3 linked regions of the Neodiprion lecontei genome follow. The protein of the gene in region 2 binds, or shares a complex with, the protein of the main gene of each other region. Links are inferred from orthologs where the notes say so. Each region holds a gene or a part of one and is shown on either strand. Other genes may lie near its edges.

Region 1 (3,755 bases), on a different chromosome or scaffold from region 2:
AAGTTTGCCGCAACAAATTATAACACGATTGTTCATTAGATTTAAGAACATATGATTTAATGACCTAATGGTAGAATACATGGTCGACATATGGAATATGCATTGATGGGGAGTCCGCTCGTTAGTTTATATCGTGTCTGGAATATGCCTATTTGACTTCGGCATAAGAAGGGTAATCGTACAATTCAACAATGCTTATGTTTATATGAAAATTTACGGTTTCCACAGTTTGAGAAGTCCGTCTTCACTGTATGAGCAGAGCAAGTTTTGATGCGGATGATGAGCTAACCCGATTACATCTTTTTCATGGATCTGCGAAAAACAATATTGACAATAGTTTTATCTCTTGCAAGTTTAATATTAAAATAAATCGAATAACAGGGCTTACGTTTGAAATTTCTAGGAAACGAGGTATTCGTTTCAATAAATCAATGACATTAGTTGTACTCACGTTGAGGGTTCGCTCAAGTTTTCCCGACGAAGTGGAGAAACAATACAAAACGAGATCCTCTCCAACACAGTATATGAATTCTCCACGCGGGCTAACACAGGCGCAAACGAAATCTCCACCTTCTCGTTTTCCACTGGAGAAGGATCTGACTATTTGTCCTTGCATGTTCATTATTACCACAGTGTTTGATCGATTACAAACGACAAAATGTTCCGGATTGCGAGGTAACGGATGGATACTGTTGACAGTAAGATCTGCAGCTCCCAAAGATTTGTATGTGCCTATGCACTCTGTTGTTTTCAAGCCCCAGAGCTTGACTGTTCCATCTGAGGAAGCACTGCAGATCAAAAATGTTTATTAATTTTCAATCAGTTTGAAGAAGCAGACTATGTGTTGGGAAAAAACTTAATTTTGTCACATAAATTTTTCACCTTATTATGCTGTGACCGTCCGGGGTGAAAACTACTTCATTGACAAATGAGATATGGCCTCGGAATTCTTTCAATGTCTTTCCAGACTTTAACCCGTGTATCCTGCAACAAAAAATTGTCAAACGTGAAAATAAATGTAATGGTTGTGCGAAAGAAATTCTGCCAAAGTTTATCATTTCTATTTTTACAAAATGACGTACCTTATAGTGGTGTCGAATGATGCGGATAGTATCTGACTGTTGTCTCTACTGAACTGAAGACAAGTGACACCTTTGGCATGTGCTTTTTCGAATCTGCGGAGGCATTGGCCACTTTGAACACGCCAAACTTTCATTTTCCCGTCTTGGCCACCACCGGCAAGCATTTCGCTATCGCGGCTAAATGACATTGATAAAACGGCTTGTTCCATCATCATGAAGTTATCCTGTGCCTGGTACTTCAAGTCTTTTCGTATTTTTCCAGTAGTAAAGTTCCACACCTCTATAAACCCGTCGACGGAGCCTGTTACCAAATATTGTCCATCTGGTGAAAATCTCGCACACTCAACATGTGACTTTTGCCCAAACTTAATTTGCTTAGATAACTGAGTTGGGTATTTTTCATCTTCCTGATCTCGAACAGCTGCTTTGCCTCTGAACAAATCTATGGTTGTGCCAGGAGGCAAGAGCCCTTGGTGCTGCTGCCATTTCAAAGCTTGTCCGAGCAAAGCTAGCAGCCTGCTGGATGGTACGACTGATACTTCACCCGCCAAAGCAGTTGCTATATGAGCTCTTCGCTTTTCCTTTGTACTTCCATCAGGGTATGCTTCCCTTGGGTCAAAGTAGGACCGTGCCAAAAGATTTTCTGGAGAAAAGTGGAAGGTGAGAAAAATTATTCAATTGAAAATTAAATAAACATCTGTAGCTTGTCAGTTAAGAAACTAGTTATGAAAGTTGTATTAGTTATTCTGTTTTACCAAGATGGATGTATCTTTCAGGTTCCTGCTGCTTCATCATTATCATCGGGTCAGTTTGCCTCAGCAGAGATCTAGCTGCGCCCAATTCTCTTAGTTCAATTAGTTCTAAAACAACCTGTGAATAAACATTTGTGATATCGGATTTCTGTTATAAGTTTGACAGTTCACCTGACTTTCTGCGTCTTTGAAAACATATGTAAACAATGAAAGTTGTTAAATACCTGTTCGTACAAATCAATGAGTTTTTTATCAGGCAATTTGAGGGACTGTGTCGCTTTAAGCACAGTATCCCAATGTCCATTGTTAATATCCGTAACAAATCCGTCAACGCTGTCAACTGTATTCAACGAGACACCAGTTTCCTCCTGGTTAAGTATTTAGAGGATTAAATTAACAGTTTGATCAATTAACAAGGAGTATTTCCTCGTAGGATTATGAATAAATTTAATATTACCTGCAAGGTTTGTAGTGTTTTTACAAGATTAGACTCCTTCAAGTACTGTTGAATCAGTCGTATAACACTGAAATAAGAAGATATTGTAGTTTGATCGGGACTAATAATTAATTATGTACAGAGTAGATACGTACTCAGCGGATTCAATTTCGATTGACATTTTTACGAGCGAACAACTATTTATTTACTTGCTGTCACAATGTTTACTTCGGTCAAAAGTTTAATACCATCCTAACCCTAAATAGCAGTCGGTAATAGAATGGCAGGCACTTGATATCGCGGCATTAAGTGCGGAACAACGTAGACGAGCGTTTCAGTAGTTGCAGAAAATTCCGCTAGGAAGACAATCATCAGTATCTATCTAAATATCTAGTCAATGACTTCGTTCCGTGGAAATATTATTATCAAGTTTATTATCAATTTAGTTTTGAATAACCCACGGTGTTCTTGTTGCATGTTGATTGATGTTGATCACGTTCGAATGAAAACACCTGTCTTCTGTCCTTCGGGTGACAAACGTTAATGTATCGTTCGAATTCGAGCAATAAACAAAATCTGTAAATTCGTAAATAAAAACAGCAAAAATGAGTAATTCAACTATTTCAGATCAATCCCTGATGGATAAATCAATGCGGAGTGTTTTTGGTAATTATGAATTAACTTTTTTTTGAATTATAACGCAATGAATTGTTAACCGGATAATTCAGTCGCCCAAAAATACGATTGCAATTAATTTTCAGTCGGAAATATTCCGTATGAAGCAACAGAGGAGAATTTAAAGGACATATTCAGCGAAGTTGGACCAGTTCTCTCATTCAAGTAAGTATGCTCCGTAACGTTCTTTACCCTAACCTCAAACAGTCTTTTATTGTGAAACAAAAAAAAAAATTCAATTACTTTACAGGAATTGGCAGGAAAAATCCATTAAAAAGTTTAAATTTATCTAACACTTTATTAGCATCTCATTATTTCCATAGTGAAAAATACTTATTATTGATTTATTTTGAAACTTGTGTATATCTTTTCGTATCTTTTTCTCAGGCTGGTTTTTGACAGAGAAACTGGAAAGCCGAAAGGATATGGATTTTGCGAGTATAAGGATCAAGAGACAGCGCTTAGCGCAATGCGTAACCTGAATGGCTATGAAATAGGTGGAAGGACACTGAGAGTGGACAATGCTTGCACAGAAAAAAGTCGGATGGAAATGCAAAGCCTGCTTCAGGGACAGAACACTGAAAATCCTTATGGCGAGGCAGTTCAAGCAGACAAGGCACCAGAGGCTATAAGCAAAGCAGTTGCATCGTTACCTCCTGAACAGATGTTTGAATTGATGAAGCAGATGAAGCTATGCGTGCAAAATAATCCAAACGAAGCACGACAAATGCTACTACAGAACCCGCAGCTTGCTTATGCCTTGCTTCAGGCCCAAGTTGTGATGAGAATTGTCGACCCTCAAACTGCAGT
Region 2 (3,755 bases):
ACATTTTCTCAGTGACATATCCAGCCCCGTTCGCTCCCCCCGGATAACCACCTCCAGGAGGTCCCATCTCTGTCTGCATACCCTTAGCCACTATATTTTTCATAGTTTCCGCCAAGTCCATTCTGGAGATAATAATAATAATGATTAAAAACACACATTAGATAATGTGCGATATACGTGGTGCTCGGAATTGTTTGGGACCAAATAACAAGCTATTGTTTACCTCAGAAAATCTGTCAAAATTGCGGAATCAGTGACATTTTATTCCACGGTGCTTTTTTCTCTGTTTTACTTCGTGTTTATTGGTACACGAGAAATTTTGTAGAAAAAAAAATAATCGGTCTGTAGACATGTTTGATATCTGCCACGAATCCCGGGTACGCCGCGAGGCTAACGATATTTATTGCTTTCGGCCATTGTTGTTTTCGGCAAATGCAGAAGCAGCGGGCGGCAGTCAGTCGGTGCCCAGGGAGTGTGAAAAAAACATTAGCCGATTAAGCCGCCGCCCCCCTCCTGTCTGGCTTTATATTATTTCGGTTAACTTACCCCAGCCGGTATCACCGCAGCATTCACAGCACCGTTGTTATCACAAATTTAGGGCCTAATCGCCCCTATACTATCATTTTACAATTAATTAACTACTTTGCATTTGCAAATATAACATAAATCGCAATTATTATATCCGCGAGTATAGCTTGCCCATACACCCGCCAGGGGCGGTTGGTAAATTTTCTACGGTTTGCTCCCTGGAAGCTTTTAGCTTATACGTCACTTCCGCGACGCTCATCAGCGACCAGACGTAACTTCCGTTTTCGATCCCTCCCGCGGTGGAACGACGGTCACCGCCATTTTCATTTCATCTCTCCGAGTCGCCGTGCCGTGTCCACGTTTCGGCTACGCGGTCCCGAAACATTAAATAAAAATCCGCTGACATCGGCGGATTTTTACGAATTCGAAACACCTATCAGGTAAAGTCTTGTTCATCTAATCAGTCTCTCTCTATATCATGTCGTATTTATCTTCCCAAACAACTTCGTAACCCGAGAAATGCATTTTCATCAAAACTACGTATAGGCGCGGCGGTTTTTTTTTTCTACCCGACAGCTTATTCATCGCGATTATTTCTCTTTGCAGCATGGCAGCCTGAAACTTATCTGCGAGCACGAAGCTAACGCTGACAAATTAAACTTCTTATAACGGATTATCAGCCGCATTCACGATGTATCTGTATAATCTAACACTGCAGCGCGCCACCGGCATCACCCATGCCGTCCATGGTAATTTTTCCGGCAGTAAAATGCAAGAGATACTTGTGTCACGCGGCAAGTCGCTCGAGCTGCTTAGGCCCGACCCGAACACTGGAAAAGTTCACACCCTCTTGACCGTCGAGGTTTTTGGCATCGTCAGGTCTCTTATGGCCTTCAGGCTTACGGGGGGCACCAAGGATTACATTGTCGTTGGGTCCGACTCTGGTCGCATTGTCATTCTAGAATATATTCCTGCTAAAAATGCCTTCGACAAGGTGCACCAAGAAACCTTTGGCAAAAGTGGTTGCAGAAGAATTGTACCTGGACAATATCTAGCCATTGATCCAAAAGGAAGAGCAGTTATGATCGGTAATTATGAGAATTTAAATTTTTTACTCAGCTTAACTGTGACCAGTTGTGTGCTAAATGATGCTGATCTTATGATCCGTGTTTCAACTGATTATCCATTGATTACAAACTTACAAACTGATGGTACTATTAAAACTGGTAGTTTTTTTAATTGAATCAATGTAATATAATATTTTCATTTCTGACGGTAAAATTGGCTTTTTCAGGTGCTATCGAGAAGCAGAAACTGGTTTACATATTGAACAGGGATCCAGAAGCCCGTTTAACGATCTCGTCTCCCCTTGAAGCCCACAAAAGCAACACTCTAGTCTATCACACAGTTGGTGTAGATGTTGGATTTGAAAATCCAATGTTTGCCTGCTTGGAAATTGACTATGAGGTGAGATACACATTCCTTGTGATTTATTTGCAAGGGTTGTGAAAGGTAATTAATTTTGCTTTTCGGCTTCCCTGTACAGGAAGCAGACAGTGATCCGACTGGAGACGCAGCTGTTAAAACTCAGCAAACGTTAACCTTATACGAGCTTGATCTTGGATTGAATCACGTAGTGAGAAAGCACAGTGAACCTCTAGAGGAGCATGCAAATTTCCTTGTTTCTGTTCCTGGAGGAAATGATGGTCCCAGCGGTGTCCTTATCTGTTCAGAAAATTACCTAACCTACAAGAATCTTGGGGATCAGCACGATATCCGTTGCCCAATTCCCAGACGTAGAAATGATTTGGACGACCCTGAGCGCGGGATGATCTTCGTCTGCTCAGCAACTCACAAAACCAAGAGCATGTTCTTCTTTCTTGCCCAAACTGAGCAAGGGGATATTTTCAAAATCACCTTGGAAACTGATGAAGATATGGTAACGGAAATAAAACTCAAGTATTTCGACACAGTGCCTGTCGCCACAAGCATGTGTGTCCTGAAAACAGGTTTCTTGTTCGTCGCCTCTGAATTTGGAAATCAGTAAGTCTAATTTTTAGCTGAAACATCACGTGATCTTTTTATCAATCCGTTTATCCAACCAATTACCAGTGGTTTCAACTTTTGATACTGATGATGTTAACCATTTATGGCTATGTCGGTTCAGCTTCCAATTGATCAGACGTGTTTGTAATCGTTATACTTAATTGCAGCTACCTGTACCAGATTGCTCATCTTGGTGACGATGACGACGAACCAGAGTTCAGTTCAGCAATGCCACTTGAAGAAGGTGATACCTTCTTTTTTGCTCCCAGACCACTCAGGAACTTGGTTTTAGTTGATGAAATGGACAGCCTATCACCGATCATGACTTGTCAGGTACCTAAAACTGAAACTACTTTTTCAATATCCAAAATTAGGGAAGCATTTCCAAGTAGGAGATCGAATCATCATTGCACTTTCTCCTGAGTTGTAATGCGATAAAAAAAATTCCTTGTCGCCTTTGTTTTGTACTATTACAAGCCGAAGTGAATCAAGGAATGATAATCACTTGAGATGTTTTACAATCTCGTTATCCGTGTTTTGGGACAGCAAAATAGATCATTTTGCTTGCTTCGTGTATGCAGGTCGCTGATTTGGCCAATGAAGATACTCCTCAACTGTACATGACTTGTGGTAGAGGTCCAAGATCCACGCTGCGAGTTTTGCGTCATGGACTAGAAGTTTCGGAAATGGCAGTCAGTGAGCTGCCTGGAAACCCAAATGCAGTCTGGACAGTGAAACGAAGAGTTGACGGTTAGTTCAAGTTTTATAGTTCAAAAGATAAACAGGAACGTTTTGTTGATCCACTTGCAAGAAGATGCAAGCCTGTCGTAGCCCTGGAAACGTGCAGTGTGTTCGTTTCATTTCATTCATTTGCAAGATTTTTAACGCAGTATTCAAATCCGCTAGCTAGAGTCCGTTTAAAAAGAATATTAACGAACCTGGTGGCTTGATACACTTTTATCAAACACCAGTTCTCTCTTTCAGGCTGCCAGCGAGCTAGTGGTTGACTGATGCAATGCAGAAAGACTAAAAGGTGAGGATCCTATCGATGGGTCTGGGATAAGTCCGACCTGAGAAACAAAACGAAAAAAAAACTTAGTAAAATGCGTCGCCCCTTGTACACCAAGATGCGGTCATTTTTCCGCGCGTCTCAACGTTCTTTACACATTGGTTACTTAACT
Region 3 (3,755 bases), on a different chromosome or scaffold from region 2:
CAGACTAGTTGTTAGTCACCGATGATTTGAAATCACAATTTCATTGGCTCATAATTTTCGAGGTGAAAGTTATTTTGTGGGTAATTTTTACTTCAAAATGAAAATGCCTATAAATTTATTCAACGCCTTTTTACCACACTTATCTTTCACCCAGAATTATGATGAATGACTGGGGCTTTAAATGTGAACCAGAAATATATTATTGTCAAATTTTTGTATTGAATGAATTAAAGAGTAAAATTGATATCAGTTATACAAAAATAACCCGAGTTATGAATAAGTAATTTCTTCCTTCCCGTAGTGGGTTCCTCAATTTTAAAGACCCAAACGGAATTGTCCGCAACAGGTAAAGTGAAACTGAACATTTGTAAATGGTCCTAGTCTCATTTCCCAACATTGTAAAGACACAATTCATCCTGCACCATATCAATTTTCATTGCCTCGTTTTTTTAGCGATGGTTTATCGAAAACTTGTTTCATTCCAGCAGCTTGGTTATTGTGGAATTTTAAGTTTTGAGCGGTCTCAGAAATCCATGGTGAATCAAACTGCGTTGTGTCTTGATCTACCAAATGTGTGTACTTGGTTCTACCGCTACGCCCAAAGTTTTTCACTTGCATTACTTTCGGCAATATAGTTTTGTCGAAATGATCTTCCAACGTTGCACCAGAGAAATCTCGTTTGAAAATTGTATCGTCTTTGTCCAAATAGAATGCACCGCGATGGTAGTACTTCTGCAAAAACTTGTACTTTCCTTTCGCTGCTTTGTTCGTTACCAATTTTGGGTTTAGACGCAGTTCCTGACGACGCTCTTCTTCTGTCATATTGCGAAGTCGCTCTATCTCTAACCGTTCCTTTTCCAATCTGTTGGATAGAAAAATATAGGGTTGAGTTGGATTACAGTGGTAGTCATGAGACTGAAATTTGTAACAATAATGTCGCGATGCATATTTAGGAAAAATATCCCAACTTTGGGACTGTCAAAAATTCAGTGAACCGTAATGAGGTGAAACATTCTTGTATTTCACGAAAACTTCTTTAGTCATCTAAACATTACAAAATAGTACTTCTTTATCAATATTTCGACGCGTTAATGTTACTAAATTCAACCTTATTGGTAGTTAGACTTTTTTGAAAACCCAGGCATTTTTATGTTCCGTTTGTTCGAAATTTTTAGCAGTATGGTTTTTTCAGTTTCAAATTAAACGAATTCCCAAAGATATCTTTAAAAGAATGATTTGAGTGGAAAATATTCTTGAGTTTACGTACTGTTCTCGTTCCTCTCTGTCTCGTTTTATTCTCTTCAACTCGCGTAGTTTCCATGCCTCATATTCCACTTCGTCGTTCTCATCGTCGGTGCAAACATCATTTATGTTTCCTTCCTGATCTACTATAGTCTTGCCAGTTTGGGTTTCTTTTCGTATAGCGTCTTCTACCATCTAAAAATAACCAAAATCAACATCAGCCGAAAGATTCACAATTTTCAAAGTGTGTAGTCTAGTTTAGCTCGATTGTTTAATGTCTACTTGGACGAAAAGTTGGTAAGTGAAGCTTGTCGTTAGTGAACAAGAAAGAAATCGCAACATATAAAGTTTCTCTTTCCTTAATACCTTGATAAGGGGTGAAAACATGTTTAGAAAGGATTCAAGATTGAATGAATATCAGTTTCCAAAAGGATTACCCTCAATGTCTGCCTTTTTCTTTCCTCTGCCATTTTCTTGGCTTCTATTTCGGCCTGCTTTTGTTTCATAGCTTCCTTCTCTTTTTCCATAACAGTGATCCTATCCTTTTTCCGGACGAAAACAGGTTTCAATCTCGGTCCAGTTTCTTCCTCAGAATCGGTGTATTCTTCATACTCTGAGCTATCTTCGGAGCTGTTGGTTCGGAGCTTCTCCTCATCTTCTTCATGAAACATTTCCTGGTCAGCTTCCTTCTTAGATAAAACTCGCTGTTTCAATGCGTCTCGACGTCTTTCAATTTCAGAATCGGACAAATCTTCATCCTCCGAGGAATCTGAGCTCTCCAATTTTATCCTTTCGCGCGTTCGCTCAGGCTCAGTCTCCAATACCTCAGGTTCGTGAATGTGCCGATGCCTTTCAACACGAATTTCTGTATCGACCTCCTTGTGCTTCTCGATTCTAGTTAAACGCCTCAGCCTAGGATCATCCTCGTCCCTCAGTTTACCGTGTGACGGAACAGGGATATCAGTTACAGTCTCTGATTCCTCGAGAGGTTTGAGTGTTCGCTTTTCCATGAAATCTTCATCCTCGGACTCTTCATCCGAACTCGCCATAGGCGCATAATCGGGACGTTTGCCGGACACATAACGATGGACCTTAACCTTTTTCATCGACAATTCGCCTGAAAATATTGAACGAAAATTGAATGCATATCTTCAATTGTACAAAACTTTATGCCTAAATTTCATAATAAAGTAAGCTTTAAAACGTATGCAACTTATTGGGAGTACAGTAAACAGGTGTCTCACATAATAAATCAGCTCACCTTTGTCATTTTTAACTGGCACTGCACCCGCGGTACTTTGTATACCCATGGGTGCTGGTGCCAACGAGTTATTAGTCACAAAATAATCCATCATTGTATAGAAATTGTTTGTTTAACCGGTCATCTACAAATGCTGTCGTATGATCGCAATTCACAGCAGCTCACGGCGTGCGAGTCAATAACATGGACTTGACTTCACTCCCTACTCATCTCTGCTTCAACCAGCTTCAACAACAAAACGCCATTTTACCAGCCTTGTCATTTGGTTCAGCTGTTTGGTTGGTAACCTTGTGATATCCAGATCTCATCGCTGGTGGTTGGTTTTGATGTTGACAGCACTGGCAGATTTTTCTATCTCTTTTGCACTAATGTTTTTTATAATTAGTGAATTCTGTTTCACTTGCAGGGAATGTTCAGTGCTCATAGGATATGTTTGGAATCGCATCAAATACACCCAGCAACGTGCCCAGTCCAATATCAGTTGTGCCGTTACCATTGTTACCGACAGAGGAGATAATTCGCTGATCAATCGACTATTGTAGGTAAGCAATTCATCTGATCAACATTTCTAATGCACCATCGACTGATATTTGATAAATCATTTGAATCAGCAATGAATAAAATTCAGTGTTATCAAACATCCAACGCATCGGACACGTTTCGAGAATTCGAATACATATTAGAAGGCTCATTTTGACACAAATTGTGTGAGAAACATCGAAGTAAACAAATCTTCTATGGCTCTATTGAACACAAGAAATTCAGCGACTACCAACAGACATGTGCTCAGTTAGCGAAGCAGCGGAGGCATTGAAGCGTCTAAGCTGTCGAAGAATAAAAATAATGTAGTTGCAAACAGCGTTCGAGGAGTGTTCGAACTTATCAATTGGTACGGATCAAGTTCGAGAATTAATCCAAAGATAGTGCGGGTAGTTCTCACAGCCTCCCGAACCACGATCGTTTTTCGTTACTCAGCGGTTTGATAGTAGTGGAAAGGGGGCGAGCGAAAGTTTCTGACGATGAGGCTCGGCGGCTGACAAGATATTATAGCGGGTAGGGGAAGTCGTTCAGTTACGTCGTGAGAAACTAGCCGTCGAAGGGAAGGGAAGGGCTGCCGGCGGTGCGGCGGGATGAGGGGGCGGAGCTGAGCGGAGAGGAGAGGGTTTGGAATGGGTCGGAATGGAAGACGACGACGACGACGACTAGTAGCACCAGTCCGAGAAGAGGTAGCAAGCGTAAAGCCGAAAGGCAA

Evidence for each region.
Region 1: splicing factor 3B subunit 3 (region 2) and WD40 repeat-containing protein SMU1 share a complex: the UniProt entries of both Homo sapiens proteins name them as parts of the spliceosome B complex. The link is inferred for Neodiprion lecontei from reciprocal best matches to the Homo sapiens genes SF3B3 and SMU1.
Region 3: splicing factor 3B subunit 3 (region 2) and microfibrillar-associated protein 1 share a complex: the UniProt entries of both Homo sapiens proteins name them as parts of the spliceosome B complex. The link is inferred for Neodiprion lecontei from reciprocal best matches to the Homo sapiens genes SF3B3 and MFAP1.

What each region holds. Positions count from the first base shown.
Region 1 is NC_060260.1:6,244,762-6,248,516, forward strand, and holds WD40 repeat-containing protein SMU1, read right to left. Parts: upstream 2,586-3,755; 5' UTR 2,452-2,585; coding exon 2,426-2,451; intron 2,359-2,425; coding exon 2,292-2,358; intron 2,203-2,291; coding exon 2,059-2,202; intron 1,953-2,058; coding exon 1,838-1,952; intron 1,726-1,837; coding exon 1,083-1,725; intron 985-1,082; coding exon 883-984; intron 789-882; coding exon 452-788; intron 313-451; coding exon 214-312; 3' UTR 36-213; downstream 1-35. Other genes in the region: cleavage stimulation factor subunit 2, read left to right, coding at 2,876-2,936, 3,032-3,110, 3,333-3,755. UniProt on the Homo sapiens protein: Involved in pre-mRNA splicing as a component of the spliceosome. Regulates alternative splicing of the HSPG2 pre-mRNA. Required for normal accumulation of IK.
Region 2 is NC_060262.1:21,779,539-21,783,293, forward strand, and holds the start of splicing factor 3B subunit 3, read left to right. Parts: upstream 1-818; 5' UTR 819-968; intron 969-1,134; 5' UTR 1,135-1,219; coding exon 1,220-1,616; intron 1,617-1,822; coding exon 1,823-1,995; intron 1,996-2,074; coding exon 2,075-2,571; intron 2,572-2,741; coding exon 2,742-2,907; intron 2,908-3,155; coding exon 3,156-3,324; intron 3,325-3,755. Other genes in the region: uncharacterized protein LOC107222893, read right to left, coding at 1-121. UniProt on the Homo sapiens protein: Component of the 17S U2 SnRNP complex of the spliceosome, a large ribonucleoprotein complex that removes introns from transcribed pre-mRNAs.
Region 3 is NC_060266.1:18,257,066-18,260,820, reverse strand, and holds the start of microfibrillar-associated protein 1, read right to left. Parts: upstream 2,770-3,755; 5' UTR 2,598-2,769; coding exon 2,504-2,597; intron 2,360-2,503; coding exon 1,680-2,359; intron 1,438-1,679; coding exon 1,268-1,437; intron 863-1,267; coding exon 427-862; 3' UTR 1-426. UniProt on the Homo sapiens protein: Involved in pre-mRNA splicing as a component of the spliceosome.